Saccharomyces cerevisiae S288C: one gene and its partners. The gene in region 4 interacts genetically with the main gene of each other region. Each region holds a gene or a part of one and is shown on either strand. Other genes may lie near its edges. The genes, in order: SAR1, BUD31, SEC12 and SEC16.

Evidence for each region.
Region 1: of SEC16 (region 4) and SAR1, extra expression of one rescues a mutant of the other (dosage rescue), as found in Saccharomyces cerevisiae (3 studies listed by BioGRID, with this or other methods).
Region 2: mutations in SEC16 (region 4) and BUD31 together harm fitness more than expected from each alone (negative genetic interaction), as found in Saccharomyces cerevisiae (3 studies listed by BioGRID).
Region 3: mutations in SEC16 (region 4) and SEC12 together harm fitness more than expected from each alone (negative genetic interaction), as found in Saccharomyces cerevisiae (2 studies listed by BioGRID).

Annotation. Positions count from the first base shown.
Region 1 is NC_001148.4:135,244-142,123, reverse strand, and holds SAR1 (Arf family GTPase SAR1), read right to left. Parts: upstream 3,427-6,880; coding exon 3,399-3,426; intron 3,260-3,398; coding exon 2,715-3,259; downstream 1-2,714. Other genes in the region: GTPase BMS1, read left to right, coding at 1-2,504; PCL8 (Pcl8p), read right to left, coding at 3,896-5,374; 60S ribosomal protein uL1 RPL1A, read right to left, coding at 5,681-6,334; FLC1 (flavin adenine dinucleotide transporter), read right to left, coding at 6,700-6,880. UniProt on the Saccharomyces cerevisiae protein: Small GTPase component of the coat protein complex II (COPII) which promotes the formation of transport vesicles from the endoplasmic reticulum (ER).
Region 2 is NC_001135.5:224,824-231,634, reverse strand, and holds BUD31 (U2 snRNP complex subunit BUD31), read right to left. Parts: upstream 3,318-6,811; coding exon 2,844-3,317; downstream 1-2,843. Other genes in the region: E3 ubiquitin-protein ligase RAD18, read right to left, coding at 1-135; HCM1 (Hcm1p), read right to left, coding at 631-2,325; TVS1 (Tvs1p), read right to left, coding at 4,177-6,072. UniProt on the Saccharomyces cerevisiae protein: Involved in pre-mRNA splicing. Important for bud site selection.
Region 3 is NC_001146.8:671,464-679,207, forward strand, and holds SEC12 (Sar family guanine nucleotide exchange factor SEC12), read right to left. Parts: upstream 3,227-7,744; coding exon 1,811-3,226; downstream 1-1,810. Other genes in the region: SNF12 (Snf12p), read left to right, coding at 1-655; MPP6 (Mpp6p), read left to right, coding at 946-1,506; putative pyridoxal kinase BUD17, read left to right, coding at 3,460-4,413; peptidylprolyl isomerase family protein CPR8, read left to right, coding at 4,714-5,640; ZNG1 (GTP-dependent zinc transferase), read right to left, coding at 5,736-7,025; ALG12 (dolichyl-P-Man:Man(7)GlcNAc(2)-PP-dolichol alpha-1,6-mannosyltransferase), read left to right, coding at 7,336-7,744.
Region 4 is NC_001148.4:385,259-396,905, forward strand, and holds SEC16 (COPII coat assembly protein SEC16), read left to right. Parts: upstream 1-1,808; coding exon 1,809-8,396; downstream 8,397-11,647. Other genes in the region: Elongator subunit ELP3, read right to left, coding at 1-1,188; BRO1 (Bro1p), read left to right, coding at 8,780-11,314; tRNA splicing endonuclease subunit SEN54, read right to left, coding at 11,444-11,647. UniProt on the Saccharomyces cerevisiae protein: Involved in the initiation of assembly of the COPII coat required for the formation of transport vesicles from the endoplasmic reticulum (ER) and the selection of cargo molecules. Also involved in autophagy.

The DNA of each region.
Region 1 (6,880 bases), 250 kb from region 4:
AAGATAAATTGATATATGCTCCAATGTCCGATGTCGGAGGTGTGTTGATGGATAAGGATGCTGTTTATATTGATATTGGAAAGAAAAATGAAGAGCCAAGTTTTGTTCCCGGCCAAGAAAGAGGTGAAGGAGAAAAACTCATGACGGGTTTACAAAGTGTTGAACAAAGTATTGCAGAGAAATTTGATGGTGTGGGTTTGCAATTGTTTAGCAACGGCACTGAGCTTCATGAAGTTGCCGATCATGAAGGCATGGATGTTGAAAGTGGAGAAGAAAGTATTGAGGACGATGAAGGAAAGAGCAAGGGAAGAACCAGTTTAAGAAAACCAAGAATTTATGGTAAGCCAGTTCAAGAAGAAGACGCAGATATTGATAATTTACCGAGTGATGAAGAACCTTATACAAATGATGACGACGTGCAGGACTCCGAACCAAGGATGGTTGAAATCGATTTCAATAATACCGGTGAGCAGGGTGCCGAAAAATTAGCTTTGGAAACAGATTCTGAATTTGAAGAGAGTGAAGATGAGTTTTCCTGGGAAAGAACAGCGGCAAACAAGCTGAAGAAAACTGAAAGTAAGAAAAGGACCTGGAATATCGGTAAGCTGATATACATGGACAACATTTCACCTGAAGAATGTATAAGAAGGTGGAGGGGCGAGGACGACGATAGTAAAGACGAAAGTGACATTGAAGAAGATGTTGATGATGACTTCTTCAGGAAAAAAGATGGTACTGTTACAAAAGAGGGCAATAAAGACCATGCAGTTGATTTGGAAAAGTTTGTTCCATATTTCGACACTTTCGAAAAATTGGCTAAAAAATGGAAAAGCGTTGATGCAATCAAAGAGCGATTCCTCGGCGCAGGCATTTTAGGTAATGATAATAAAACGAAAAGTGACTCTAATGAAGGTGGGGAAGAACTATACGGCGATTTTGAAGATCTAGAAGATGGAAACCCTTCTGAACAAGCAGAAGACAATAGTGACAAAGAAAGTGAGGATGAGGATGAAAACGAAGACACTAATGGAGATGATGATAATTCATTCACTAATTTTGATGCGGAGGAAAAAAAGGACTTAACCATGGAGCAAGAAAGAGAAATGAATGCTGCAAAGAAGGAAAAACTACGTGCACAATTCGAGATAGAAGAAGGTGAAAACTTTAAAGAAGATGATGAAAACAATGAATATGATACATGGTATGAACTACAGAAGGCCAAGATATCTAAACAGTTAGAAATTAACAATATAGAATATCAAGAAATGACTCCAGAACAACGTCAAAGAATCGAAGGTTTCAAAGCTGGTTCTTATGTACGTATCGTTTTCGAAAAAGTCCCAATGGAATTTGTCAAGAATTTCAATCCAAAATTTCCAATTGTTATGGGTGGTTTATTGCCGACCGAAATAAAGTTCGGTATTGTCAAAGCCAGGTTGAGAAGACATCGTTGGCATAAGAAGATTTTGAAGACAAATGACCCACTGGTCTTGTCTTTGGGTTGGAGAAGGTTCCAAACTTTACCAATTTATACAACAACTGACTCTAGAACAAGAACCAGAATGCTAAAGTATACACCAGAACACACATATTGTAATGCGGCTTTCTACGGTCCCTTATGTTCTCCAAACACACCTTTTTGTGGTGTTCAAATTGTTGCTAATAGTGATACCGGGAACGGTTTTAGAATTGCAGCAACAGGTATCGTTGAAGAGATAGACGTTAATATTGAAATTGTTAAAAAGTTAAAATTAGTTGGGTTTCCATATAAAATTTTCAAAAATACTGCCTTTATAAAGGACATGTTTTCAAGTGCTATGGAAGTTGCAAGGTTTGAGGGTGCGCAGATCAAAACTGTCTCGGGTATCCGTGGTGAAATCAAAAGGGCACTTTCAAAGCCTGAGGGTCACTATAGGGCAGCCTTTGAGGATAAAATCCTAATGAGTGATATTGTAATTCTAAGATCATGGTATCCTGTCCGCGTCAAGAAATTCTATAATCCTGTTACCTCACTATTGTTGAAGGAAAAAACCGAGTGGAAAGGTTTAAGATTGACAGGCCAAATAAGAGCGGCTATGAACCTGGAAACACCGTCGAATCCGGACAGTGCATATCATAAAATAGAACGTGTAGAAAGACACTTCAATGGTCTAAAGGTCCCAAAAGCTGTTCAAAAGGAATTGCCATTCAAATCTCAGATCCATCAAATGAAACCACAAAAGAAGAAAACATATATGGCTAAAAGAGCCGTGGTGCTAGGTGGTGATGAAAAGAAGGCAAGATCATTCATTCAAAAAGTATTGACGATTTCGAAAGCCAAAGACAGCAAGAGGAAGGAACAGAAGGCTAGTCAACGTAAGGAAAGATTGAAAAAATTAGCTAAGATGGAGGAAGAAAAATCACAAAGGGATAAGGAGAAAAAGAAAGAATACTTCGCCCAGAATGGTAAAAGAACAACTATGGGCGGTGACGATGAATCTCGTCCACGTAAGATGAGGAGGTAAACTTTCATGTATATATATATATATACATATATATATGTATACTTAAGATGTATCATACTTTTATTCAATCTTAGAGTCTAAAATATACTATGATCGCGGAAATGCTGTGCTCAAAAGTTATGAGGTGGCATCCTATGCAATTTTGTTGATTATTACAAAGCTGTTGAATTCATGTGAATGTCATATAAAGGGTATAGATGTATACGTCAATTAAATATATTGAGATAACCATTGGAACGCCTCTAAATAACCATTTCTCATAACAACGGAACACATGAAAACTTCAACTGGTCTTTGACCTTCAATTCTTTGAGAGCCAGTGGTATTCAATAATCCTAAAGCAGAACGTAGCTCCGCTTCAGAAACGGCGTTTGGAGCATCGATCTTGTTACCAAGAATTACAAAAGGAACGTCCTTCAATTCGGCAATGTTGAATAAAGCATCTAATTCGACACGTGCTTCATCAAATCTTTCAGGGTCAGCAGCATCGACTAAAAAGACGATACCATTAACTTCTGGGAAATAATCCTTCCATAAACGACGAGCTTGAATATGACCACCCAAATCGAAAGTTGTAAACTTAATGTTACCAATAGCCAGTTCTTCAGAAGTTGGATGCCATGTTGGTTGTAAGGTTGCCAATCTATCGTTCTTTAACATATGTAGCAATGTGGTCTTACCGGCATTATCCAAACCCAAGAAAAGTAGTTTACCATGTTTGTTCCACAGACCAAGGGAAGCCAACACATCTCTGACTGTACAGTAAAATAAAGTTAGTAAAGGACGCAATTTCTTCTAGAAAAAAAAAAATAGATCTTAAGCTGAAAACATTCAATGTTTACCACATTGAATAAAACTAAGTATCCGAAAAACGTGAACAGGGTGATAACATACACCAACCAAAAATATCCCAACCAGCCATTATTCCAATTATATATTGTTAGTTATAATGATGTTTCTAGAAAAGAAGGAAATAAATCTACTGTTTGCCTTTCTAGAGGATCCATTACAATAACTATTTGACAAGTAATTCGTTTCCTTTTGGTTTTTTATGCGATCTCTTGTTCGAGTTTTCTGGTCAACGCGTTGCAGACGGAGTTGTCGGGTAATGCGGGCGTATACGATATAATGATAGAACGATATAATGTACAATACGGCCATGTTGAGCGCGAATTTTAGAAGTGCCATCCTGCAGGAGCTTTTCGTAAGCTTCTGTATACTATAGGTACCTATCGAGGCCAGCACACGTTTAATTATGCGGAATTACTTTCTTAGCATTAAAAAAGAAATAAAATAAAATCCAAAAAAAAATAAATAAATAAATAAAAATAAATACTATGAAAAGAAATAAGGGAAGGAACAAATGAACCTGCATAATACATATGCAAAACTCATGTGTTTCCTAATGCCTGTCTTGTATCATCAAGGATATGCAATGTTTTTTCTAATTTTTCACAAGTAATCATTAATCCATCGAAATTAACACTCGCCATGAAAGAAATTTCCAGTTTGGTCAGCAGTCTTTTTGAAATACCGAAGACTTTGCAAATGTAGTTTTGTGAGTGGACAAAGTCTTCTAATAGCTTGGTGGCAATTCTTATTGTAGATATGATGATCCTATGGGCTTGGTCCTCCTGTAATTTAGCCTTCAACTTTATGGGACCGTCCATTTCGTCTCTCGTAAGAAACACAAGTTGAAGTAGATAGGTGGCTCCAAGATAGACTACGGCACCAAACATGCATTTATTCTGGATTCTGTCGATAAAATCTCTGAATGATAAGGAAGGTGGGTTCTTCATCACAAAATTAACAAATTTTTGAGGATCTTCGGAGGAAATCGCTAAAGTGTTCGCATTATCGTTAATTTTCTTAGATAGTTGTAAAATTAATTCGATATTCTCACGGAACTTAGATAGTGCTTCATCGTCTGACAATTCTGGTATTTTCGGTATTGATTCGTAATGATCCAATAATAAAGATATTCGTCGTAGCTCTTTTTCATTTTCCTGCTCACATTCAATGCTTAGCACTTTCAAATCTGGTGGTTCCCCATTGGGGGCAGAAGACGGGGGATAGGGGAAAGAATCAAATTTTGTGTAGTCCAGGATCTCCGAACTCTCATTTTCATCTGTTTCGTTATTGGTAGTGTTTCCACTTTCGTGAGAGTGATTATCAGTATCTATCTGACTATTCGAATTCACTTTATTCGTATATATTTTTTCCTTATCAGACGTGGATAAAGCCTTGTCTAATAAGCTGTAACCGTGGTGTTCCACAGTGGGTGTAGTAGAGCTAGCATTTGCAAGGGGATCCAGGAGATAATTATCGTCATCATTGTCCAACTCCGTATCGCTAAGAGCAAAGTTGGACATGGAATCTAAGCGTCCGGTACCTTGAGTTGCTGTGTCACTCTTTACTCTCCCAGGTAACTTGCCACTGCCGCTCAATAGCTCTGAGTTAAAGCTATTTACCTTGTCAATGTTGTTAGCGAGGTAATCGTTGATTTCATTGGCTGACTGGATCAGCTGTTCTACCCCCATTTTTTTACTGGACGGGCTTTTCAGGTTGAAATCTGTATTGAAGTCATTGTGAAGTTGCTGATGTTGCTGTTGCTGCTTTTGCTGTTCAAATCTCACCTTCTTGGACGGACCATGCAAACTAGAAAGCGGGTCTAACACGTCATTTACTTCTGAAAAGTTCCTGCTTTGAGAAACGCCTACCTTAAGTGGAAGGTCAAAAACGTCTTCTCCCTCATCATTTGCCCTACACATGTCACTGTCGTTATCATCATCATCATCATAAAATTCGGACATACTCCGAGTCAAAGCGTCATTAATGAGAGACTTGTTGGGATCTTGATCATTAGCCATACTGCTTCTTGTTTATCTGCAAAACCTCAAACAAAATCTTTTAAATATGTCAATTGCCTAGCAAACACAGAGACCTCCCGAGCGTCTTTCTCATCGGGGATCCTTCTCTGTTGTTTTTGATATTAAACAGGGGAATACAGAGCAAAATTCCCTACAGCTGCCCTTCCGCGCCGCTCTTTCCTATCAAGGCGGTGAAATAGAAATACTCTTAATCTTTTACTAAATACAAATGTGACTCAAATTACTTCTTACAAAATTAAATAAGTAGTTCTGAAAGCGTTAAACTATGAAAACACGTAATTATGCTTAGTACAATCTGAAAGCTGGACCCATGGAGGACTTAACAACCAAGGAACCAACATTTTGCCAGTTCTTCTTCAACAAAGAAACAAAGAAGTTAACAGACATCAAGATTTGGTTAACCAAAACGTCTTCTTCCATTTCAACGTTACCAACGGCAACAGCCAAACACAAGACCTTCTTCAATTGGAACTTGATGGTAGATCTGACATCAGTGACCTTACCGTACAAGTCATCGTTGTGAGAAACTGGGGTTGGGAACTTACCAGCCTTGGACAATTGAGGACCCAATAGTCTTGGAACTTGCTTGATCAAAACTTCAGAAGCAATGAAAGCGTTGTACTTCTTAGACAACTTCTTGATTAACTTCTTGTTCTTGTTCAACTTCTTCAAGTCATCGACGGACATAGCGTCAACACCGCAAGACTTAGCTCTGTCAACATCGAAAGCATCACCGAAGATACAGATGGACATGTTTGGTCTTGGACAATTTGGCAACTTCAAAGAACCAGAGAAACGCTTGTCTCTTTGAGGGTCATAGTTCTTCAAACCGACTTGTAGTTCGACGGTTTCCAAGAAGTTTCTCTTCTTGGTTTCGTTGGAATACTTCAACAATTCCTTGACGTGTTCTCTGACTTGAGAAGAAGTGATCTTGGACATTTTTGGACGACTGGTTGACTGTTAAATTGAAATAGTAACGTCCAATATCAATGAAACATGTTCTAGATATGTACAAGACAGAGGTTTTGAGTGAAAAAAAAATCTTCCTCTCAAGGCATCTCGCAAAAGCCAAGAAAGAAAAAGACTGCTAAAATCCGTGCACCCCGTAAAGTATGCCCGATCCCAGTAGAATGGAGTAGAGTTTCGTTAAAAATACATAAGTGAATAATATGAATATTAGAATATTTATCCTTGAAAGTAATTGAATGTTCATGTCTCTATAAAAAGACTAAAAAATAATGCAGTAGAGTTTTCGTAATGATTTAATTACGTTGTTCTTTTTACCTTTATCCCATCGACAAAGCTTACAAATAATCAGGATCCAGGATGTTTGCTTTTTTAGTAACATCTTGGGCGTTTGCAACACTGCTCAAGCTCAAATCTCGGGCTGGCATAGCATGCATTTGGGTGGAACTAGCAGCGTCTTCCAGTATGCTTGGTTCCATCAGACTGAATTGCTCATCTTCATATGCATTGATTAGCCCA
Region 2 (6,811 bases), on a different chromosome or scaffold from region 4:
ATGGCCACAAGGTGTTAAGACGGGGACTTTTAGAAAATCTTTACAAATGTGACATCTCAAAAGTGTATCCAATTGGTACAGGCTCGGTATTGAAGTAGTCGTGAAGTCGCTTGCAGTGGTTATTTGGTGGTCCATGAGTAGTAAAAATGGCCTTTTCTTAGTAGCTGTGATGCTCACTTGCGGATGGTTTTTCTTCTAATGTGGCATTGCTCAAGTGGTACTTAGTTTTTCACTTTCTATTGAAAAATGCAAGGCAACGGGGCAAGTAAAAATAAAAGAGATCAAAAAGGTAAGTGAAGTGAATGGAAACTTCAGCTAAATACTGTATTAAAAATCCGTAAGGATCAAAAATAAAGATATGTAAAATATAAAACTTAGAAAAAAAATTTGTATCATTTTTGTTATGATTACAATTTTTTCCTGCCTCTTCTGCAATTGATTATACCATAGAAGAGCGGGAAAAGAAGTTAGTTGACCCGACAATACAATAAGATTAAAAAGAAAATGCTATGTGATATGATAACTCCAGCCCAGTTTAGGACTCATCCAACCGTTTGCGATGAATCCATCAGATTAAGAATAATTAGTTTTCGGTGAGGAAAAGAAAATGAAAAAAAAAAAAAAAAAAAGTCAATTCTTTTCATTACCGCTATCGTTGGAAGGGTGATTATGATAAGGATGATGTTTTTGATTGCTATCCGTAGTATTGTTACCATCAGAAATCTTTTCAGTTGCGCGCTTCCAAACAGAATAAACATCCACGCCAAACAGCCCGCTTGAAGCAAATTTGGAATTCGTTGCGCTTGTGAGGACATCGGGTGCAGAGGACTTTCTTGGTGAAATTTGGGTTTCCAAAGTGCCCCCCGGCGTCGTGATATACCTGATTGGAGTCTCTATAGCTCTAAATAGCGGAGAACAGTACAAATCTTCAAAAAGGTGTGAAGGAGTCTGCCATTTCCTCAAAATCGAGTTACCGTCCTTAGGTGTGCTTATCAACCGCGATGGGGTTTTCTCTAAGCCATCGGAATGCCTCATCTTGGGTGTTTTAAGTAAGTCCGAACCATGAGAGGAAGGTGGAGGTGGAAGTTGAGAATTGGAATATGATTGCTGAGATTGTGGTTTCGACATGAGCGCAAGATTTTTCTGATCGTACAGCTTCAATGGGGAATACGGAAGTGGGTCGAGTAGAGAACCAGCCCCTACATTACTTCGAAGTGGAGATAAATCTTCAAAATTTGAATTGAATGAGGTGAAATATTTTCTGAAATTCTGAGGAGACTTTGCGCTAGTTATAGGGAGTGTATTAAATCTATTTGCCTGGGTGATATTATTGTTTTTCACACCCGCCTGGAAATGATCTTTGGCATTCACCAGCGACGGTAAGCCTAAAGAAGTATGATATTTCTTCATGACATAAGGAGGTTCCAAGGAATCTATATTGTTGACATCGTTTTCTATCATGTTCCGCATCGATTCTAGGTTTTCGTGAGGGTTCAGTACACTGTTGTCTGTTTTCAATTGCGGTATGTGATGTAACTGGGAAACTCTCAGTATAGGGGAGGAGTTCAATTGAATTTCAATGGAAGGGAATTTCCCTGCTTCCTCTCTTTCTTCCTCGTCAGGAAGATCATCATTGCCTTCTCCACTCTCAACTTGTTCTAATTCATCAAGTGTAGAATCTATTTCAAAATACTTCCCAATGTCTTGTAAGGAGTCCTTTACAAATTCATAACCACGATTTTCACCTTTGAAAAATTTTGTTTCGGCACCCGGTCTGACCTCCCAGAAATGACCCTTACCATCGCAGGACTTTTCAGTCTTGATGAACGCATCATTTAAAGACAAGTTATGTCTTATTGAATTTTGCCAACTAGCATCTTTCTGCTTGTAATAAGGGAAGTGAACGTGGATCCAATGATATATCTGGGATAGCGTTAGCTTTCCCTCCTGAGATTGCAAAATGGCCAAGCAAATCAAAGTTGCATACGAATATGGAGGTTTCTTGGCGAGTTCACCATTTATTCTTCTTCTTTCCAAAGATTGAAGAATTTCTTCCAAGGTTAGGTTACCATTGGACCGAGCGCATGTGTCCGATCTTTGGCGCTTGGCCTTAGATGGAGCAATTGGGGACGAGTGATCCGGTGAGAGGGGATGCGACGGCCTCTTATTTACTTCCTTCATTGTTTTTCTCACAGTTGAGCTCGGGGGAGTAATCATTTCCTTTTCGTCTTCTAGTGTTCTCTTGGCTTGGGTTAATAGCACGGTGCTTTTTTCCGTTAAAAAACTATTATGGCCATCAATGATGGATATGTCTTCATTCATCATTGAAAAGTTGGAATTTTTGTTGATTTTTTTTTTTTTTGCTTCGAAATAAGAGGTAGTTTCGGTCAATAAAAGAAGCTCAAATAGTAGATGTAACTATAATAAAAGGGGGGAAAAGAATAGAATACGATTTAAAGCGTTGGAACCTCTGTTAAGATATACTCTATATGATTTTCAATTAATCATGCAACATATATTTAAAGTTTGAGAAGGATCAAAGGGCACCGTAAGGGAGGAGAAGAAGTAATTTTTTGATTTTAAATGAGGACGCGTTTTAGTCAGTGTTTCAGATCCTTATTACATCCACAGGTTTTAACGCGTTATCTTTGTTCCGAAAAAAAAAAAAAACGGAAAAATATATTTTTTCGCGTCGCGTTCTCGCGTCTGTTTTGTTTTTTCGCGTTCCAATGACCAAAATGGGAAAGTGGTCGTCTTTGACGAAGGAGACGAAAACCTCTTCTAAAACGTTGGGAGAGAGATAATTACATGGCCAGAACAATACTGCAACGTGCATATAGTCGTTAGTCTGTGCTTGCACATCCACGGCAGCCGCAGTGGACGCACTGATGGAAGGACACCTGTGTGCCCTTTTTGCGTGCTTCTTCCTCTAACTGTGCACGAGGCACCCTGCAGATGCAAGTGCTACCGTTGTTAGTTTCGTTCTTTTGAATGCAGCGCAGACAGCACAGTTTTTCATACCCGGTTTTGCGCCATTTGGCAATTAGCAATTTATCAGCATACTTTTCCTTTATCAACCAATCGTAAAGGTCTTTGGAGATGGCCTTTCTCTTGTAGTACAGAGTATATATGTATCTAGAGCGCTGGTGGTGGAGTTGCATTATCTCCCAGAGCTGCTCATTGGACTTTGCTGCGAGCTTAGACGACTTGTCCTTTTGGGCATCTCTGAGTTGGATTTCGAAATCTGTGAGGGTTGGCTTGATTTTTTCGAACCCGTCAGGTGCAGGCTTGGATCTTCTGGTCTTTATGCGCGGCATGTCGTTTTGTGAGGTGAGCTTTGCTAGTCTTGACGGCTGTAGAGGTGTTTACATTGATGATGAGTCCCTAAGAAAATTTTTCTTTTTTTTTCAGTATTTCACTTTCCGTTGTGAACGACAAATGTACTATGCGTTCAAGAGCCAACGCAGTATCATCGTCAAAGTTCCTACCACAACGCGTGTGATTGATCTTGTACTGGTTGTAAATGTGCTAAGTCTGTGACTGCAGTGAATAGGATTGTTTTAATCAACGATGTTATTTAAAAAAAATTAAACGACACCAGCAGGATTTGAACCAGCGCGGGCAGAGCCCAAGAGATAGCCGAACTTTTTATTCCATTCGAGTCTCTCGCCTTAACCACTCGGCCATAGTGCCATTTCGATTTGAAATTATGGTTTAAAGCGGTAGGTTTTATACATGTTTCTAGGCGTTTTTTCACAGATCCAAGACAGTAGAGCAGCTTGGCGTAGGTAGGATGGTGAGTAGAAAAACTAAAAAAAGAAAAAAGGAAGGAAGAACTTATTATACATTATGTAGAGTAACTAATTTTCATGTCTTTTGTGGATTATTTTACATTCTCAGAGAGAACCTCCAGTAGAGTCATTATACATAATATATTCACTTTTATCAGGTATGGGCCCTCAATAATCGTCATTGAACTCAATTCCAATGAGATCTTGCTTATTCATTTTTATAAATTTTGAGGAAGCGATAACGCATTCAGAATTGACTGAATGCTGGATAAACTAATAATTAAGAATTAAAAAGTAGGTGAGGAAAAGTAAAGCATATAAGCTTCTCACTCAAAGATGAGGGGGGGGTGAAAAAAAAAAGAAAAAAGAAAAGCCATTATGGCGGTTAAAGACTGGTTTTCCTGGTTTTGATGAGCCAGTCTTTCCAAATAAATAAAATCATTTCCCAAGCCATCAACAAAGAAACGAATCCAACACTGAGGTTGAAAGTGAACATGGGGGTAAACCCCCTATATTCCATGGCTTCAATGGACTGATCCGTGGACTCCATAAATACCAGACCACCACAGAGGAGACAGAACGAGGTGATCAACTCCGTGAAAGGCTTGGATGCGGCACTGTTGGTGTTGGGCACCAAAAACAGAATCAAAAATGTTAGCAGACGGAAGAAGGACCCATAGGACAACAAGTATCCCCATTGCGTGTGAATGGTAGTAGAAAATTGCGAGGACTGTGCGTGCTGGGACATCAGAATCCCAGTCCAAAATATGGTGAAAGCGGGGAACGGGTTTGGAGAGTACCCCGGTGTGGCAGCAACTACATCGGTCTGTGGCCGTTTGCGGGCATGCTCGAATCGCCAATGGTTGAGCTTGTACTCCGTGAGTAGCCCACACAATCCGGTTCCTATGAACATAAACGCGATCGACACATGCTGTAAATCCTTGGCAGTCCATGCGCCGCCGTTTCCTGCCAGGTGCTCCAAGAAGATGTTGGTGGACCCGTAAAAGAAAATGAGGAAGGATTCAACGAATTCCATGGTGAAAGTCCCCGCAGGAGCAAACCGGAAAAGAAGATTGGAGGAACGCGTTTGTGTGAGTTGAGAGGTGAAGCTGATGTTGTTCCATGCCCAGCCGTACTTAGCTGCGAAACCGCAGTATCTTGCTAAAGAGACAACGCCCAGAGTAAAAAATACGCCGCCCTTAATCCAGTGGGCCAAGAGATTAAAGATGCGGATGCCCTTGCCGAGCAAGTTACCTACAGCGAAGCCGATGATTAGGTCTACAAAGATGTACATGAATAGCGGGTAGGTAAGCATGTGAAAGACCACGTTGGCGACGCACGAGAGGTGCGCGGCAAGCATCTGGTACTTCGTGTTGGTAAACAAGATTCGGAAAACGGGTATGTCTTGAGGAAGCAGAGGTGGCGCTTCAATGGAAGCAATTTCGTCGTCATCATTATCGTAGTCTTCGTCGCGCAAAGTGTCGTGGTTGGAGGTGTTATCACCCTCGTCTTCGCCTTCAGCGCGTCTCCGTTTATTATTATTGGTGGCCGTGGCGGTCGTGGTGTCTGAAGAGAGCGAGAACAACGTGTCTCTGTTGGAAGAAGGACTTGGAGAGCCACGTGCACTATTCACCATGACGGGCGTAGATTCAAGATCATTCAGAGGGATGGTGTCAACCGGACGGTACTCCTTTTTCGATGCTAATGAGACGGGGACAGAAAGCACCGCAGCGAAGAAGTGAACAAGCATAAAAACGAGAAGTAGCACAGAAGTGGTGCCATAGATATTATGCGCATACCAGTCTTCTTCCGGGAAAGTATTTTTGAACACGGACAATGCCATTACGGACGAAATACAAATGCATAGATTAACAAACAGCAGGGGTAAGTACCACCTAGAACGGGCGGCGCTTAGCGCCAGGGACACAGGGTAGAGCACAAATGCAACCAAGAGCAGCGTAATAATGTGGTAGCGAAGGGCAGACCTATTCCCAGCCTGTGTAGTAAAGTAGGTTGTGGTGTTGTAGTTTTCCCAGTACAATCTCTCCGCAGGGGTAAGCGAGGGCGATTGCAGTATAGGAAGGCCATGCAAATGTTTTGGTTCATGTGGCACGGGGACGATTGAAGCCGTGGATGAGACATCTATGGATTGAGACGTTGTCGTATCGATATTCATGTCCATATCCATGTCCATATCCATGTCCATGTCCATGTCATCATGGGCCGTGACAAGCGTCGCCGCGCAGCCGAATAAACTTAAAATTGAAACAAAACGCACCATTACTCTCACTATTTTGTTTTTGGTTGGGGTATTAAGAGTACAATGCAAAACAAATACTAGCGAATTATACAATAGACAAGACCCTTGCAAGTATTCTTATAGAGCGCAGTGTCTACCGCCGCTGCCACTCCCCTTATAACCAAAACGGTCCGCTAAGAGCCGGTAAAAAAAATCCGGAACAAAAAAACCGCGAAGAGCTCCGTGGAAAAGAAAACTGTGACCGGTGGCAAAAATATCGGTCTTCGGCGGCTAATTTGCCGTGCTTCGTCGTAACTGATTTTTCTATATCATGGATCGTGCTTCTTAGTTATTCTCGTGTCGTGAAACCTAGATATAAGTTTTCATCTATATAGTGAACATTGCAATATGCAAGATATGTTGCCTTAGTTCCGTTAGTTGCCAATACATGAACTGTATGCCCGCAAAGATGTGCGGGAAATTCTTTACAAGGTAGATATGTATTTAGAAAAGAGAAAAACCAAGGGTGTATAGTTTCGTACTATGAAAATCGAAGTTTTAAGCGGCAAAACACTTGTGTATAGATAATTGTAGTATTATTGTGGTATTTGGTATTTGCAGTATTTTCTTGGCGCTACGATGTGCTTTTTATTTTTGTTTGTTTTATTCTCCTATAGAGTAAGGAGACCTTATATTGTTTTTCTCTTGGTAGAAAGTTGACGCGCGAAGAAAAACATAAAAAAAACTGACAAGATACTACTATTATTAACCATATACACGG
Region 3 (7,744 bases), on a different chromosome or scaffold from region 4:
CGAAAATTTGATGGGCAACAGGAACAATCACAATAGCAACACCAGTACTAGTAAGATGCTTGATGCAGCCTCCAGTCAAGTTTCTATTGTAAAATTAGACACTCAGCTTATTACCTTATTACCCAGCAGTCTTAAAGAATCTTCTCCAGATACAATGAAATTAACGGATTTACTGTCCCTTATTAATAGTACTCACCTGCTCCCATTACAGCCAATTGAAATTGATTACACAGTACGCGTTGATAAAGCTTCCACTTATGGTGAGTTGGTTCTTGATATTGAAGTACCTGATGTCAACGCTCTAAAATTCAATAATACACAAAGAGAAAGTCAAATTGGGGCTGCTGAATTGAATGAAAATGCCAGGGAATTGGAACAAATCAAACCCAAGATAGCTTTACAGGACAAAGAAATAACGTCCGTTCTCTCGAATCTACACGAGAGCAACAAACGATACCGTTTCTTCAAGAAAATTAGTGAGGACCCAGTTAAAGCATTAAATGAATGCATTGCTTCTACCTCGAATGCTTTGAAAGTTTTATCGGGAGATGAGGGCTATAATGAAGATATGGTAAGGCGGGCTAACTTTTACAAGGAAAATGAAGCTATGTTGCGCGAGAATATAGAAGTCATATTATCAAATGGACGAATGTAGGCTTCTTTACATTGATACACAATAGACTGAAGATTTATGTAGTTTTCTTTGTATATAAACTCTAGATAGGAAAAGAAAGGTCACCATTCATTTATAATAATTAAAGACGAACAGACAATGCTGATTTGTTTATAGCGCCTACAAGTAATGGCGGCTGTCTGATTCCATTGTCTCTTTCTAAGAAAAGCGCTGAAAATTTTCTACTGGAAATTTCAGAATATGAAAAAGTAGTAGAGATGAGGGCCACTTAAACACAATAAGCATATAAGGAACCAAGGGAAAAGCAACAAATGAGTGCTAACAATGGTGTCACTGGCAAACTCTCTAGTAGAGTCATGAATATGAAGTTTATGAAATTTGGTAAGACGGATGACGAAGAGAGTTCCAACTCCAATACGCCGTCTAATATCAACTCAGATGTGGAACCTATAGAGCAGAAAGGTAAACTCTTTGGTCTGGATGACTCAGCGTGGGACCTCAATAGCTACAAAGATGATTTAAAAAAAATTTCAGGTAAGGAGAAGAAAAAGGTGAAAAGAGTAGTATATAAGAAGCGACCCAATCTCATAATCTCCAACGTTGGTTACAGTGAACTGCGAAAACCTGAGGGTGTGATAAGTGGGAGAAAAACCTTTGGCGATAATTCTGATGATAGTGGTTCCAGGAAGAGAAAGTTTGATGAAGGCGAACAAAATGAAGACGAGAAAAGGGATGCTAAGGATAAGGAATTTACAGGGAGCCAAGACGATGGAGAGGATGAATATGACCTAGATAAATTATTTAAGGATAGCATCAAAAAGAAAAAGACCAACCATAATGGTAAAAATAAAAATAGAAATTCAAAAAAGTAGCGCAGACAATGCACCAGCAGAAGTACGTATTCGTATATAATAATGAGAACATAATATAAAGCATTGTGTAGTATTTTTTTCGTATTTGTCATAAACCATAAGGACTGCCGTCCTTTCTATTACGCTCAATTCCAAAACATATACAAAAACATGTAAATACACCACTTCTAATTTATCAGATAAATCTCTATCATCAATATCATTGAGATCGTTTTTGTATCTTTGCGTTTTTTTTCATAGCTTGAGTGTCGTCACTCTCCTTTTCGCTACTTCATTATTGCTACCTCATAACTTTCTCTCAAGCTCAAGCATCATCTATTTCTCGAAAAGTTGCGTTGGTGATCTCAAACTCTGCCCCTCCAGTATTAATAATGTTACTTTCAGTACATAAGACTTCAGTTCCATTCACAGAACTCGTCTCATGCACGCCATGCACTTTTATGGAATCTACGCTAGGTACAGATGTTTTTGTACCGTGGTTGCCAAACAAAGTTGTTTGATGTAAGTCTTCATCAACTACGTAGGGCGAAGAGATGGTGTCTCTTTTCGTTAGAAAATTGTCCTTCGCGTAATTGAAAAGCATGGAATGCAAATTGTGCTTATAGGAGAACTGTAAAATGTAAGAAAGCAGCACAATAAGGATGAAGTTGGTGAAAAATTTAGAGATTTTTTGTTTCATTGAGGTGTAGTTGGCGTAGTTAAGCGGTAATTTTATTATGTGGATAGTGTTGGCTGCCGAAACACTCGCCACATATGTAGAGTCCGGAGAGATAGTGACCTCTGTAATGGCAAAACTATGAGCTTGTTTGAATATTTTAGACATTGACAGGTCTTTTAGTTTCACAAGAGCTATGGAATTGTCATTACTTGCCAGTACCGCCAATTCACCCTTCATGTCGACATCCATAGAAGTAATCCCTTTGAATCTGTTTGTCACTTGTTTGGATCTTAATACGGAAGTGTTTCCTGATTTGATGCTTATTTTGGTCAGCACAATACCTTTCCCTTTTTTTAAAGAGGCTGCTATCAATACTGTGTCATCGGCTATGAAGTTTATTTTAGATAAACTCCAATTCTTATCAAAATCTGTTTTCCTAGCAATGCAACTTCCAGTCACTGTTGAAATCACTTCCAAGCTAGAACCGGTGATATAAGCAACAACCTTACCATCAGTGGAAAAGTGTAAATCCTTTACTTCACCCCTAGTCTCGATCTCAAACTTCTCTGTCAAGTCGCTCGGGTCAATGATTCTCATTATAGCAGGTACTTTAGATGATGCGATAGCTGCAACGGTACCTTCTCGTGAAATATAAACCAGCTTCGTGTAGTCATCCGCATTTGTAGATGCGTCAAAGTCTACACTAGTGAGGAACTCCAATTGATCATTCACTTTATCGTATTTAAATTTTCTCAAGTGCTTATTACCTTTACCTTGGGTAATCTTAGTGCTATTTTCATTGCAGCCAACCAAAATGATACCCTTGGAAGCGTCAATTGCAGTAGGAGAGTCGTCGTTGTCTTCCAATGCAAACTCGCTCAATATATGAAACTGTTCCTTCTCAGTATCTTTGGTAGGATCCACGCGCAAGACCGTCAGCTTGTTTGGTATGCCATTGTTTCCTTCTCCTCCACCGCCTGCCACAAGTAATGTGTCGTTATTCAAAAATTTTGCACCGTACGCAGGATACCCGACGTTATAACTAGCTGTCACGAACTTCATAGTGGCTCGATTGTATCTCAACCTTGTTATATATCTGTATTTCTATCACGTATCCTTCTAGGTTTCTGTACACGTTTTTGAATTTTTTGGATTTTTTTTTTTTCAACTTTTCTTTTTTCCCTCATTCTTACTCTATTGTCATCACCATTCAAGATAAAGATAATAACTAGCTTTGAGAAATTAGACCAGACGCAGTGGAAGGTTGAATACATGCCTGTGTGAGGGTGGTGCCAATGACCAGTACATTACATACGACAAAAAAAGTGCTCTCCATTCAATCACACGTCATACATGGCTACGTGGGAAACAAGGCCGCTACGTTCCCACTTCAATACAGAGGTTGGGATGTGGACGTATTGAACACAGTTCAGTTTTCTAACCACTCGGGGTACGCCCACTTCACAGGCTTCAAATGCAGCACTGAGGAGTTGGTAGACATTGTAGAGAAGGGCTTGATTGGGTCTCTTAGAATCAAGTATGATGCCGTACTTAGTGGCTATTTACCCAATGTTCAAGCCCTGCAAAAGGTAGCAGGAATAGTGGGTCAATTATGTGAGGGGAGTGAAAACGTCAAGTGGATATTAGATCCTGTACTGGGCGATAATGGAAGGCTGTACGTGGATCGAGAATGTGTTGCGGTATACCAAGACATTTTACAAAACTTCAAAATTTTTTTGGCCACACCAAATCAGTTTGAAATGGAACTGTTGGTGGGGATGTCAATTCGTACCTTAGACGACGCTAAGCAGGCATTTAAACTATTTCATAAAAAGTACCCTCGAGTAAGCCGAATAGTTGTCACTAGTCTGGAATTATCTGAATTCCTGAGCAACGACACTTACGTAGTAGCAGGGTTTGATTGCTCGGCCAGTGAAGAGATATTCTTCTATGAAATCCCCAAGATCAACGCAAAATTTAGTGGAAGTGGTGATTTAATCAGCGCCATGCTCACTGACTCGTTACTAGGCGACCGCCGCTGCACACAGCTGTCATTAAGCGCATCCTTGGGCCAAGTGCTGTGGCTCGTCACCAGTATCCTACAAAAAACGTATGATTTAAACATAGCTGAGCGGGGCCCACAAGATTCCACGATAGATATCAAGGATTTAAAGCTGATTCAGTGTAGAGACATCCTAAAGCAAGATCTCATACCCTCCATTGGCAAGCCAAAAACCATTAAAATATGATTCTTACGAAACGGTATGCTCCTTCCTCATTGGGGTGCGGCTGCTGCAGGAACCTGCCTAAATAGGAAAATACATTCCTGATTTGGAAACTGTAGGCACACGACGCGTCCCTTTGGAGAAGATCGATCCTTCTTTGGGTCTTTCAATTTGATTGGAAAAAAAATATTTAAAAAAATAGAAGAAAAATATAGAATATATAGAATATATAGAATCAACTACTGCAGTAGATAAATAAAGAAGACTATTCATATTCAGTATCACAATTGAAAGATTATTACAATTTGTATACATTGGTTCCCAATGAAGAGCTTTTTTCTTTATCTTTATGTGGCATTCATGTTTAGTTGCATAACGGCTCTGCCATTACCTGTGGATAACAAAAGGGCTTCTTCAGACTCCTTAGACCTAAAGAAAAAATACGCACCAGACCCTCCTATTACACATAATGTAAACATCGGAATTGTTTTCACAGATCCTGAAAGTTCGGAAGAAGCCGGCCGTCTCATAACAATAGACTTATACGGGACTATGGTGCCCAAGACAGTAATGACTTTTTGCCAGTATGTTGATAGTGTAAAAGATCGCCTTGCTTCCCGTCACAGTTACTCGCCAGAACGCGATTTTGATAAAATTCTACCGAATGGAGCTATAGAAGGTAGCTCCGTTTCTTCCTCCTCTATTGAAGAAACGGAAATGTTGGCTCCAAAACTCCCGGAAGAAAATCATAGTTTAATTCATGATAGGCCAGGCAGAGTTTCCATGATTAAGGACGATAAGGGTCTTAAGTTTATAATTGAGACCAGTGAGACGCCACTTGAAGGTGAAAGTGTTGTGTTTGGCCAAGTTACCGCCGGGTTAAAAGATCTGATGGATAAACTAGCTAATGTGAAAACTGACGAAAATGGCAAACCAGAGCAACCAATAACAATAGGTTACATTTCATCCCAGGAACACAGGATTCAGCATGCAAAGGAAGCTCACGAAAAGTATTTACAAAGGCTTCAAGATTACCAAAACGGCGATTTGGAGAAAGGTATTACATTGAAGAATTATTTATACCAGGGTAGTCAAAGAAAGTTAGAAGACGCAAAATATAATCAGCTTCACCATCCTTTACCAAAGATTATGCTTGGTATTTCGGTATTGTTACTTTTCTACGTTTTGGCCAAGTACAGGAAAAGAATATTCAACAGATCGTCTAAAATAGTTTCTATTAGAGAGGATTAAAATGTTTCGATCCATCCGCTTAATATTCATTCATTTTGTATCACATACATACGTATAAATATACATAACTTACCTCGTCTTTATTATGCCAACCATCATTCCAGGGTTTTACGTAACAGTTCCTCTATGGATTCCTTTTCTAGGTACTTCCCAATCAGCACAATTTTACACTCTTTATTGGATCCGTCATATTTGCCTGGAAAGACATCGTAGGTGTCGCGGACGCCTTGGATTACACGAGCAATGGGGTTCTCTCCTTCAATAAGTATCAGACCTTTAGTTCTTTGTACTTCCCAATCACGGCCGTCATCTCGGCGACGCCCTCCCAGCACTGTCATGGCTCCAAAATTCTTCCACAATAAAGGTTGCAAAAATTGCTTAATAAACTTATTATTATATTCTTCCTCGTTTTTTAATGGTCTGAAAGTAAGCATTATTGTGCCCATTCGATCATCATGAATGGTACCGTTTCCGCTACCACTATCTAAGATGTCAGATATCCGTACACTGTCGTATGCATGAATATCTAGTAAATTTTGAATCGGCGTATCACTATACTTGGTGAAGAACATCGGTGCGATAGAATTTATTTCCCGTACTCTTTCTTTTAATTGTTTGACCATTTCTGGTGAATGTTCGATAGTATCGTATTTGTTCATTATAATTCGATCAGCCATGGCTAGTTGGAAGTGTGCAATAGTCAGATTCCCCTCCAAACCAACTTTGTCACCATGCCAATGGGCATCGATGGAAATATCATCTAAGCATTTTAGTATATGCTCACAATCCAAAACCGTGATGATCCCGTCAATGTAAACGCTGCTATTCAATCCTTCGTCCTGCCAGAACATTTTCGCAATGGGGGCGGGATCTGCAATACCGGAGGTCTCTAAAAGGATATAATCGATTTTACCAGGTGAACGCTCCACCATATCTTCGATGGCTTTAACACCTATATTTTTCAACGAACAACACAGACACCCGTTACCCAAATCCAACCATTCTTGGTAGCTGTTCGATCCATTTTTAATGGTCATAGCCTTTTCGATTTCACTAGAATCTCCAAATTCATTTAAAATTACGGCAATTTTTTTATCTGCACCTTTTAATGCAATTTTTTCCAGCAACGTCGATTTACCTGATCCTAGATAGCCGGTAATAATGCTCACAGGAATACGCTTTTTCTCGTGCACATCTGTTGCGCCTGCAGAAGTGTTCTCCACTTGCTTGTTTACCCTTTCAACTTTTGCATCGCTAACAATATTTCCACCATCATACGAGACATTTTCCAAAATTTCTTGTAGATTATTTTCTTCACCTGTTACGAGGCAGGGTAGTTCACCATCTTCTTCTTCATTGAACTTGATGTTTCTCAATGCAGACATTCTTCCGCTTTAAAAGTTGAAAATTCCTCAATGAAAAGGGTGTTCTTGGCTTTACAAGCGCATTAAACATTTAATATTATATAATATTTATAATATACATGTTATTCCAATAGTGAAAAAAAAAAAAAAATGAAAATGAAAATGAAAAATTCGGCCCTTAAAAATGAACAACCTTTTACCAGCCGGCATTAAATGTCGTGGCACTTCACAGTTTATAACGCAAGGAATTTACTAATAGCAAGTGAAACCATTAACGATTAGTGTTGTTAAAAGAGTTGAATAAAGCCATTAAACAACGATTCAGTTGACAATGCGTTGGTCTGTCCTTGATACAGTGCTATTGACCGTGATTTCCTTTCATCTAATCCAAGCTCCATTCACCAAGGTGGAAGAGAGTTTTAATATTCAAGCCATTCATGATATTTTAACCTACAGCGTATTTGATATCTCCCAATATGACCACTTGAAATTTCCTGGAGTAGTCCCTAGAACATTCGTTGGTGCTGTGATTATTGCAATGCTTTCGAGACCTTATCTTTACTTGAGTTCTTTGATCCAAACTTCCAGGCCTACGTCTATAGATGTTCAATTGGTCGTTAGGGGGATTGTTGGCCTCACCAATGGGCTTTCTTTTATCTATTTAAAGAATTGTTTGCAAGATATGTTTGATGAAATCACTGAAAAGAAAAAGGAAGAAAATGAAGACAAGGATATATACA
Region 4 (11,647 bases):
TGCCAATTCTCTCAAGTTACCATTGTCAACACCTGAGGTAACCAAGGGCATTGGAATGTCTCTTTGGACACGGTAGATTCTTGTCCATGGGGGCACTAGGGCCAAGATTCTAGCAACTAAGTCCACTAAGGCGTTGGCACTATAAGACTTATACCTGCCCGTTTTCCAAAGTTCGTATAAACCTGTACCCCTAATGACTAAAGTTGGATAGATTTTCAACCCATCAGTCCTAAAATCAGGATTTTCAAAATACTCTTTGAACTGTTCAATATCTCTTTCCATCCCAACATTTGGTAAATCTGGCATCATGTGAGAAACAACCTTATAACCAGCATCTTTAGACACAGCAAAAGTTTCACAAACAGACCTAACGGTGTGTCCTCTATTAGTATCACGAGCAACGTCTTCGTACAAGGACTGAACACCAATTTCTAATCTGGTACAGCCATATTTTAACATATCGTCCAAATGTGTTTGCGTACAATAATCAGGCCTAGTTTCGATTGTTATACCAACACACTTCGTTAAACTTTGTTGCGAATAAAGAATAGCTTCATCAATATCATTACCATTGAACCCAGAAAGTGCATTATGCAATTTCACAATAAAATCTTCACGATATTCTTTTGGTAATGACATAAATGTACCACCCATCAGAACATATTCGACTTTATCGATGGAGTGACCTAACTGTTTCAATTGTTCCACCCTACCACGTGCTTGTTCATAAGGGTCATAACGAGCTCTGATGGCACGCATTGAAGTTGGTTCATAGCCTGTGTAAGATTGTGTAGAATACTCAAAATCTGAATCTGGACCACCTGGACAATAAACACAAATATTACCTGTATATGCAATGTGAGGACAACGATGTGGTTTACACATAACGGCTACCACTGCAATACCCGATGCTGTTCTTACTGGCTTAGCCTTCAATTTGGGTAATAAATATTTTTTGTATTGGTCTGGAATAGAATTAATGATATCGGTTAACCTTGGTTGTTGCTTTAGTTTATATTTCTTTGAATATTTAGTAATCAAACCATTCAGATTAATTTCTCTTGTTGTTCCCGAGGTTAAAGAATCTGTTAACTCTAATGTGATATCAGCACAACATTGTATAAACCTTTCCTTTTCAGGTGCTAGCTTTTTTTTGTTAGTTTTTGGGCCTTTTCCATGACGAGCCATCTTTGTCAGGGTGTTCTTCGATTTTCCTTAGGTGCTTTTAGGACTTGTTTATTTCAAAACTTTGCACTGGATAATTTGAGATGAGCTAACTAAATTTCAAAATTTTTTGACCATTTTTTTTTTTTCATGAGGAAGAGCCAGTGACAGTAAATAATAAAAGGTGAAATGATTAAACAATGAAAGCGGCAGAAAAATAAAATCAAACAGTGGCAGTATTGACTTTTGAAAATCAGAAGTTCATCCTAAGTTAAGACTTTCTTCTTTTAAGTGCTTTCTCCTTCTCTCACTGTCTTATCGCTGTATATCTCATTGTTGAATAATATAACACAACGTTATAAGTGATCATCACTTTCTGATCCATAATTTCAAACCTCAAGCGACCGTACATGTGGCATTTTCCACTATAAACTTACGAGCAAGAGAAAGATATACGGAAAAGGTTAATTGGCAGGTTACACAAGATTTTGGTCATTGAATATTTGCAGCCCTCCTGCTTGAGAAACTGGACAACAACTGTTATCAATATTCCCTTTTCAAAATAGTGGTATTTAACTGGCCATAACCAAGGAAACCGTTGTACCTATTATTTTGTATAGTCTTCATTTAATAACGTGTTAAGAATGACACCTGAAGCCAAGAAAAGGAAAAACCAAAAGAAGAAGTTGAAGCAAAAGCAAAAAAAAGCTGCTGAGAAAGCTGCTAGCCACAGTGAAGAACCACTTGAATTACCAGAAAGTACGATTAACAGCAGCTTCAACGACGACTCGGTGAACCGTACAGAATCTGACATAGCTTCAAAATCTGATGTTCCTCCGGTCTCATCATCTACCAATATCTCTCCGGCTAATGAAACACAACTAGAAATACCTGATACTCAAGAATTGCATCATAAACTGCTCAACGACTCTGATCAACATGATATTACCGCGGACTCAAATGATTTGCCAGACAACTCAATCGTTGAACATGACTCTGTTATTACCCAAACAAAACCAGCCATGTCTCAAGAATACGAAGAGACTGCCGCTCACTTATCTTCGAGAAATCCATCGCTCGATGTAGTCGCGGGAGAACTTCACAATAATAATGAACATACCCAGAAAATTGCCGTATCCGCTGTGGAAGAGGATTCTTTCAATGAAGAAGAGGGTGAAAATCACGACAGCATAATAATTTCATCATTAAACGATGCTACCCCTTCTCAATATAATCATTTTCTCCCATCCGATGGCAATCTTCTTTCTCCAGAATTATCTTCTGGTGATACGCCAACTCACAATGTTCCTCTAGGCACAAAAGACAATGAAATAAATGACGATGAGTATTGTAATGATAAGGAAATTAGTTTGAACGCAAATAATGTGCTTCCTGATGAACTTTCAAAGGAAGAAGATGAAAGATTAAAACTAGAAACGCATGTATCAACCGAAGAAAAGAAACAGGATATCGCTGATCAGGAAACTGCAGAAAACTTATTTACGTCTAGTACAGAACCATCTGAGAATAAAATAAGAAATTCTGGTGATGATACCTCCATGTTGTTTCAAGATGACGAAAGTGATCAGAAGGTTCCATGGGAGGAAGATGTGAAGAAAGATTTTCATAATGAGAACACAAATAATACTCAAGAATCGGCACCGAACACAGATGATCGTGATAAGGGTTATGAAGGAAACGAAGCTTTGAAAAAGTCCGAAAGTTGTACAGCCGCGGACGAGAGGTCGTACTCTGAAGAAACTTCAGAAGATATCTTTCACGGACACGACAAACAGGTAGTTGAAGGCCAAAATGATTTCACTGGGAAAAATATTGAGAATGAAAGCCAGAAATTAATGGGGGAAGGGAATCATAAGTTACCGTTGTCTGCCGAAGCTGACATTATAGAACCTGGTAAGGATATTCAAGATCAAGCCGAGGATTTGTTTACGCAGAGCAGCGGAGACTTGGGAGAAGTTTTGCCATGGGAATCTACTGATAAAAACGCTGATGTAACGAGCAAATCCCAAGAGAAACATGAAGATTTATTTGCTGCTTCTGGAAACGATGAGAAACTTCCTTGGGAAGTTTCTGACGGTGAAGTATCATCGGGAAAGACGGAAAACAGCATGCAGACTAGTACTGAGAAAATAGCTGAGCAAAAGTTTTCGTTTTTGGAAAACGACGACGACCTTTTGGACGACGACGACAGCTTTTTGGCTTCTTCTGAGGAAGAAGACACAGTACCTAATACCGATAATACAACGAATTTAACCTCAAAACCAGTTGAAGAAAAAAAGGCTTCAAGATATAAACCTATTATCGAGGAGGAAGCAGGAATGCGTCAAGAGCAAGTTCATTTTACCAATACTACTGGCATTGTAACACCGCAGCAGTTCCACGGTTTGACTAAAACTGGACTAGGCACCCCCAACCAACAAGTCAGTGTACCAAATATAGTTAGTCCTAAGCCTCCTGTGGTAAAAGACAATCGTTCAAATTTTAAGATAAATGAGGAGAAAAAGAAGTCTGATGCTTACGATTTTCCACTGGAAATTATTTCAGAAAGTTCCAAGAAGGGTCACGCAAAGCCGGTTGCCGTTCCTACTCAAAGGTTTGGCTCAGGGAATTCTTTTAGTTCTTTGGACAAACCAATTCCACAGAGCAGGAAAGGCTCTAATAACTCAAATAGGCCACCCGTGATCCCATTGGGGACGCAGGAGCCTCGATCTTCGAGAACTAACTCAGCGATCTCGCAATCTCCCGTTAATTATGCTTTCCCTAACCCATACAAAATTCAACAACTACAACAGGCTCCTATCCAATCAGGTATGCCTTTACCAAATACCAACATACCTCCCCCAGCATTAAAAGTGGAAACCACCGTTTCTGCTCCTCCAATTCGGGCAAGAGGGGTCAGCAATGCCTCCGTGGGAAGTTCAGCGTCTTTTGGTGCTAGACATGCAACACAGTACGGCCTCAATAACGGGGTACCTCCGGTTTCGCCATATGGTCAAGCTACCATAAATTTGCCAACTGCGAATAAGTATGCCCCCGTCTCTCCTACAGTTCAGCAGAAGCAATATCCATCAGTTGTGCAAAACCTTGGCGCTTCGGCCGTAAATACCCCCAATTTTGTAAAGACCCATAGAGGCCATACAAGCTCTATTAGTTCGTATACACCAAACCAGAATGAACACGCCTCTAGATACGCACCCAACTATCAACAATCTTATCAGGTGCCATATACCTCACAACCTGTTGGTCCTGTAGCTGGGAATTCAAGCTATCAAAGCCAAACCCGAAGTTCTTATGCAGTTCCTATGATGCCCCAGGCTCAAACTTCAGCAAGTATTCAGCCTCACGCGAACATTCAACCGCCTACTGGCATTTTACCTTTAGCCCCCTTACGACCTCTAGACCCCTTACAAGCCGCTACGAACTTGCAACCCCGTGCAAGCAACATAACGGCTGCAAATTCACTACCTCTTGCAAATTTGCCACTTGCTGAAAACATACTGCCAGAAATTATCACGCATCGAGCTACAAGTAGTGTTGCACCACCACGACAGGAAAATAATCCAATTAAAATAGACAACGAGGCTTTATTACGCCGTCAATTTCCGATTTTTCATTGGAGTGCTGCAAACAAGGTCGTGTACGCAGTCCCCCCTATCCCTGACCAATCGCAGTACATGATTTCATCAAGCATTGTACAGGAAATAAAAGTGACACCAATTGACCAGATAATTAAACCGAACGATATGCTCAAAAGCTTCCCAGGTCCTTTGGGTAGTGCCAAATTAAAAAAAAAGGATTTAACCAAATGGATGGAAACCACTATTAAATCCATATCTGAAAATGAATCATCCACTGATATGACTATATGGCAACTATTGGAAATGAAACTAAACGATAAAGTTAACTGGAAAAATATTTCAAAACTACTATACAATTCTGACGAACTTTTAATGTACCTATCTCAGCCCTTTCCAAACGGTGACATGATTCCAAATGCATATAGACTGGATATAAATTGTCAGATGAGAGTCCTGGCGTTCTTACAAACGGGAAATCACGATGAGGCACTTCGCTTAGCTTTAAGCAAGAGGGATTATGCCATTGCACTATTGGTTGGCAGTTTAATGGGTAAAGACAGATGGTCTGAAGTCATTCAGAAATATTTATATGAAGGGTTTACTGCGGGGCCAAACGACCAAAAAGAATTGGCACACTTTCTGCTCCTTATCTTTCAAGTATTTGTTGGTAACTCCAAAATGGCCATAAAAAGTTTCTACACTAATAATGAGACCAGTCAATGGGCATCCGAAAACTGGAAGAGTATCGTTGCAGCTGTTCTGATTAATATCCCAGAAAATAATGAAGATCCACTACTTATACCACCTGTTGTCCTTGAATTTTTGATAGAGTTCGGTATATTCCTCACCAAAAAGGGCTTGACAGCCGCAGCTAGTACATTATTTATTATTGGTAACGTACCACTTTCTAATGAGCCAGTAATGGCAGATTCAGACGTTATATTTGAAAGTATTGGAAACATGAATACTTTTGAAAGCATTCTATGGGATGAAATCTACGAGTATATATTCTCGTATGACCCTAAATTCAAAGGATTTTCATCTATTTTGCCCCAGAAGATATACCATGCATCTCTTTTACAAGAACAAGGTTTGAACAGCCTGGGGACAAAGTATACTGATTACCTCAGTTCCTCAGTTCGAAAACTGCCTAAGAAAGATATTTTAACAATAAACCTCACTCGTGAATTGAGTGAGGTGGCTAGTAGGCTTTCCGAGTCTAATACAGGATGGCTTGCAAAACCAAAACTAAGCAGCGTATGGGGTCAATTAGATAAATCCTTCAATAAATATATTGGTGGCGATGATATTGATGCATTGAATAAAAAAAATGATAAAAAGAAAGTTTTTGATGGGTTCACACCGGGATCTTCTGCCAATTCGTCAACTGTGGATCTCACCCAAACATTCACACCTTTCCAAGCTCAAGTTACTTCGCAAAGCTATGTGGATACTACAGCTCTTTTGCATAATGCCCATAATGTACCAAGCCATAGTGTGCTGCATTCAAAGCCTTCCAATGTGTCAAAGGGGTTAGTTGAAGCAAACTTACCGTATACGCATAGGATCGGTGATAGTTTGCAGGGATCTCCTCAGCGCATTCATAATACACAGTTCGCTGCTGCTGAGCCTCAAATGGCTTCTTTGAGAAGAGTTAGAACAGACCAGCATACAAACGAAAAGGCTTTGAAGAGTCAGCAGATTTTAGAGAAAAAGTCTACGGCCTACACTCCACAATTTGGACAGAACCATAGCGTTCCAATGGAAAAGTCTAATTCGAATGTGCCATCTTTATTTGCCGACTTCCCTGCTCCACCCAAACTTGGAACAGTGCCGTCTAATTATGTGTCTAGTCCTGACTTAGTAAGAAGGGAGTCTATCATATCTACCGGATCAGAATTTCTTCCTCCTCCCAAAATTGGGGTACCTACTAAAGCTAATTCCTCGCAGGGATCGCTTATGTACTCACCAAGTGTGGAAGCTTTGCCTATCGACCCTGTCGTCCCGCAAGTTCATGAGACGGGATACAATGATTTTGGTAACAAACATTCTCAAAAAAGTATGCCTGAAGATGAATCTCACACATCACATGATAATAGCAATGCTGATCAAAATACATTAAAAGACTCTGCAGATGTTACAGATGAAACAATGGATATTGAAGGACCTGGCTTCAACGATGTGAAGAATCTTCTTCCTATGGAGCCCAACCACCAGCCTACGTCTACAGTAAATCCTATACAAACTATTAGTGACGATATCCAACCGATTCTTCAAACTAACGTGGAGGTCCGGGGTACTGATGCATCGAAAATGGAAAATTCACTTCCCTCCATTGAAAATGAAAGAAGTAGCGAGGAGCAGCCAGAAAACATTTCAAAATCAGCATCATCAGCATATTTACCATCAACTGGTGGATTGTCACTCGAAAACAGACCGCTAACTCAGGATGAAAACAGTATCTCAGAGACAGTTCAATCCACATACTTGCCAGCAGGAAGTATTTCAATGGAAGCTAAACCAATTTCTCAAGTGCAAGATGTTCCAAGAAATGTTAATAATAAAGCATCCAAACTTGTGGAGCAACATATGGCACCACCAAAGCCAAAAAGTACTGACGCAACCAAAATGAACTACTCACCATACGTGCCTCAATCAACTGCCGCTAGTGCAGATGGCGATGAATCAACGATTCTGAAAACATCGCCTGCTATATATGCAAGAACTCACCAAGCACATGCATCCAATCCATCACAATACTTTCCTTTGGTCAACCAAGCAAATGAAACTGCTTCATTCGAATTATCTGAATCAACATCCCAGGCACAAAGTAATGGAAATGTTGCTTCAGAAAATAGATTCAGCCCAATAAAGAAAGCCGAAGTCGTCGAGAAAGACACTTTTCAACCTACTATTAGGAAGGCTTCAACTAACCAATACAGGGCTTTTAAACCGTTGGAATCAGATGCGGATAAATACAATGACGTTATTGAAGATGAATCCGATGACGACAATATGTCTACTGATGAGGCAAAGAACAGAAAGGAAGAAAAAAAGAATGTGAATATGAAAAAGGAAACAAAACCAAGTAACAAGGACATAGATGACAAGTCTAATGGTTGGTTTGGTTGGTTGAAGAAAGATACTGGCGACAAAAAAGTGTATAAGGCCAAGCTAGGTCATAAAAACACACTATACTATGATGAAAAATTGAAACGTTGGGTGAATAAGGACGCAACCGAAGAGGAAAAACAAAAAATTATTGAAAGTTCGGCACCACCACCTCCTCCAATCGTGAAACGTAAAGATGGCGGCCCAAAGACAAAGCCACGTTCAGGCCCCATCAATAATTCCCTACCTCCAGTACATGCCACATCAGTTATTCCGAACAATCCAATCACTGGTGAGCCTTTGCCGATCAAAACATCCCCTTCTCCTACAGGACCCAATCCAAACAATTCTCCATCACCATCCTCTCCCATATCAAGGATTTCTGGCGTAAACTTGACTAGCAAAAAGGCAAACGGTTTGGATGATTTATTGAGTTTGGCAGGAGGACCCAAACCAGCAAGTACGAGAAGGAAGAAGAAAACAGCGAGAGGCTATGTTAATGTAATGGATAACATACAATAATTATAGTAATACGTTTTTCTTTCATGGTACCCTTATGCCTTCCCTTTTCTTGATGTATATTATATACTTATAAAAACCGTAGTAAATTTTATTAAAACAATGATTACAGGAATCCGTATTTAGGTTATGCATCGTTGTCAGTAAGAAATCAGATGAATGCGATCTGAAACTTTGCTTATACTAATATTATTCTATCATACCTCATTTTCTTGCTTCGATTAATGCAGGACGCCGGTTCCGGGTTAGGATCACCGAGAAACAGAAAGCAAGCAAGGCTTCAGTTACAATTCGAAGAAGTACTAAGGGGGTTGTCGTGGAAAAATCTTGAATCAGAAAGCGGCTGACTGGAGCATTACTAGGTTCATTACTCACTGGTTCTACTCATGAAACCTTACTTATTTGACCTAAAGCTAAAAGACACAGAGAAGCTGGATTGGAAAAAAGGCCTCTCCTCATATCTCAAGAAATCATACGGCTCCTCACAATGGAGAACATTTTATGATGAGAAAGCTACTTCAGAACTGGATCACTTAAGGAATAATGCAAATGGAGAACTAGCACCTTCTTCATTGTCGGAACAAAATCTAAAATATTACTCATTTTTGGAGCATCTTTATTTTCGCCTGGGTAGCAAAGGATCAAGATTAAAAATGGATTTCACTTGGTATGACGCAGAATACTCATCGGCCCAGAAAGGATTGAAATACACGCAACATACGTTAGCATTTGAAAAGTCTTGTACTTTGTTCAACATTGCTGTAATCTTTACCCAAATTGCGAGGGAGAATATCAATGAGGACTACAAAAACTCAATCGCAAATTTGACAAAAGCTTTTTCCTGTTTTGAATATCTATCAGAAAATTTTTTGAACTCACCTTCAGTCGATCTTCAGTCAGAAAACACTAGGTTTCTGGCTAATATTTGCCATGCAGAAGCTCAAGAATTGTTTGTCTTGAAATTATTAAATGATCAAATATCATCCAAGCAATATACATTAATCAGTAAACTTTCTAGAGCCACGTGTAACCTCTTTCAGAAATGTCACGATTTTATGAAAGAAATAGATGACGATGTGGCCATTTATGGTGAACCCAAATGGAAAACGACAGTTACTTGCAAACTGCATTTCTACAAATCGTTAAGCGCTTATTATCACGGTTTACACCTTGAAGAAGAAAATAGAGTTGGCGAAGCAATTGCTTTTCTCGATTTTTCTATGCAACAATTGATTTCATCCCTTCCATTCAAAACGTGGTTAGTGGAATTTATAGACTTTGATGGGTTTAAAGAAACTTTAGAAAAGAAACAAAAGGAGTTGATTAAAGATAACGATTTTATATATCATGAAAGCGTTCCAGCCGTTGTGCAGGTTGATTCCATTAAGGCGCTCGATGCAATAAAATCTCCAACATGGGAGAAGATATTAGAACCATATATGCAAGATGTTGCAAATAAATGTGACTCTTTGTACAGAGGAATTATTCCCCTAGATGTCTATGAAAAGGAAAGTATTTACTCAGAAGAAAAAGCGACGCTGTTGAGAAAGCAAGTTGAAGAAACTGAGACAGCAAATTTGGAATATTCTTCCTTCATCGAATTTACAAATCTACCCAGGCTCTTGAGTGATTTGGAAAAACAATTTAGTGACGGAAATATTTTCTCGAATACGGATACACAGGGACAATTGATGAGGGACCAAATTCAGACATGGTGTAAATTTATCCAAACAAATGAATTTAGGGATATAGAAGAACAGATGAACAAAATTGTTTTCAAAAGGAAACAAATTTTAGAAATCCTTTCTGCCTTACCCAATGATCAAAAAGAAAATGTTACAAAACTAAAATCTTCTTTAGTAGCTGCTTCAAACTCAGACGAAAAATTGTTCGCATGCGTAAAACCACATATTGTCGAGATCAATCTATTGAATGACAATGGAAAAATATGGAAGAAGTTTGACGAATTTAATCGCAATACGCCTCCACAACCTAGCCTATTGGATATCGATGATACCAAAAACGACAAGATATTAGAGTTGTTAAAACAAGTAAAGGGCCATGCGGAAGACTTAAGAACATTGAAAGAGGAACGTTCGAGAAATTTGTCTGAACTAAGAGACGAAATCAACAACGATGATATCACAAAATTATTAATTATTAATAAGGGGAAATCCGATGTTGAGCTCAAAGATTTATTCGAGGTGGAACTGGAGAAATTCGAGCCTTTGAGCACAAGAATAGAGGCGACAATTTACAAACAATCTTCAATGATAGATGACATCAAAGCCAAGCTAGATGAAATTTTTCACCTTTCAAATTTCAAGGATAAATCTTCTGGGGAAGAAAAATTTTTAGAAGATCGTAAGAATTTTTTTGATAAGCTGCAAGAAGCAGTGAAATCATTCAGTATTTTTGCATCCGACTTGCCAAAAGGAATAGAGTTCTATGATTCATTATTCAATATGAGTAGAGACTTAGCAGAAAGAGTGAGAGTTGCAAAGCAGACCGAGGATTCAACAGCTAATTCTCCCGCTCCTCCCCTCCCTCCACTTGATTCTAAAGCGTCTGTCGTTGGGGGTCCTCCATTACTGCCCCAAAAAAGTGCAGCCTTTCAGTCATTATCTAGACAAGGGCTCAATTTAGGGGACCAATTTCAAAATCTCAAAATAAGTGCCGGCAGTGATTTACCTCAAGGACCCGGTATTCCACCAAGAACTTATGAAGCTTCGCCATATGCTGCAACGCCTACTATGGCAGCCCCACCAGTACCACCGAAACAATCGCAAGAGGATATGTACGACTTGAGAAGACGTAAAGCAGTTGAAAACGAAGAACGTGAACTGCAAGAGAATCCTACGTCCTTTTACAATAGACCCTCTGTTTTTGATGAAAATATGTACTCCAAATACAGCAGTTAGGTGCATTTCTTATTTCTTAATTTTATTGTAGCTTTTTTTTTTCAACTAATATGATAATTATATATATACCGGATTTGTTGAAAGCCAGTTTTGCAAGGATAAAGAAACTGCGATTTAGCAAAAGTCCCTTTAATGCTTCTTCCATCTTTGATCTACTTTCTTTTGAGTATTAGGTGTATACCATACACTTTCAGATCCAAAATCAGCCTCGGACATTTTTACAAACGAAATAAGGCCATTATCCATAATAGCGATAATAAAGCTCCGATATCCCGTCTTCAATCTACGATTTTGCTGTATGTGAGGTGGGTACGCCTTTCTCTTCTTTTTCGT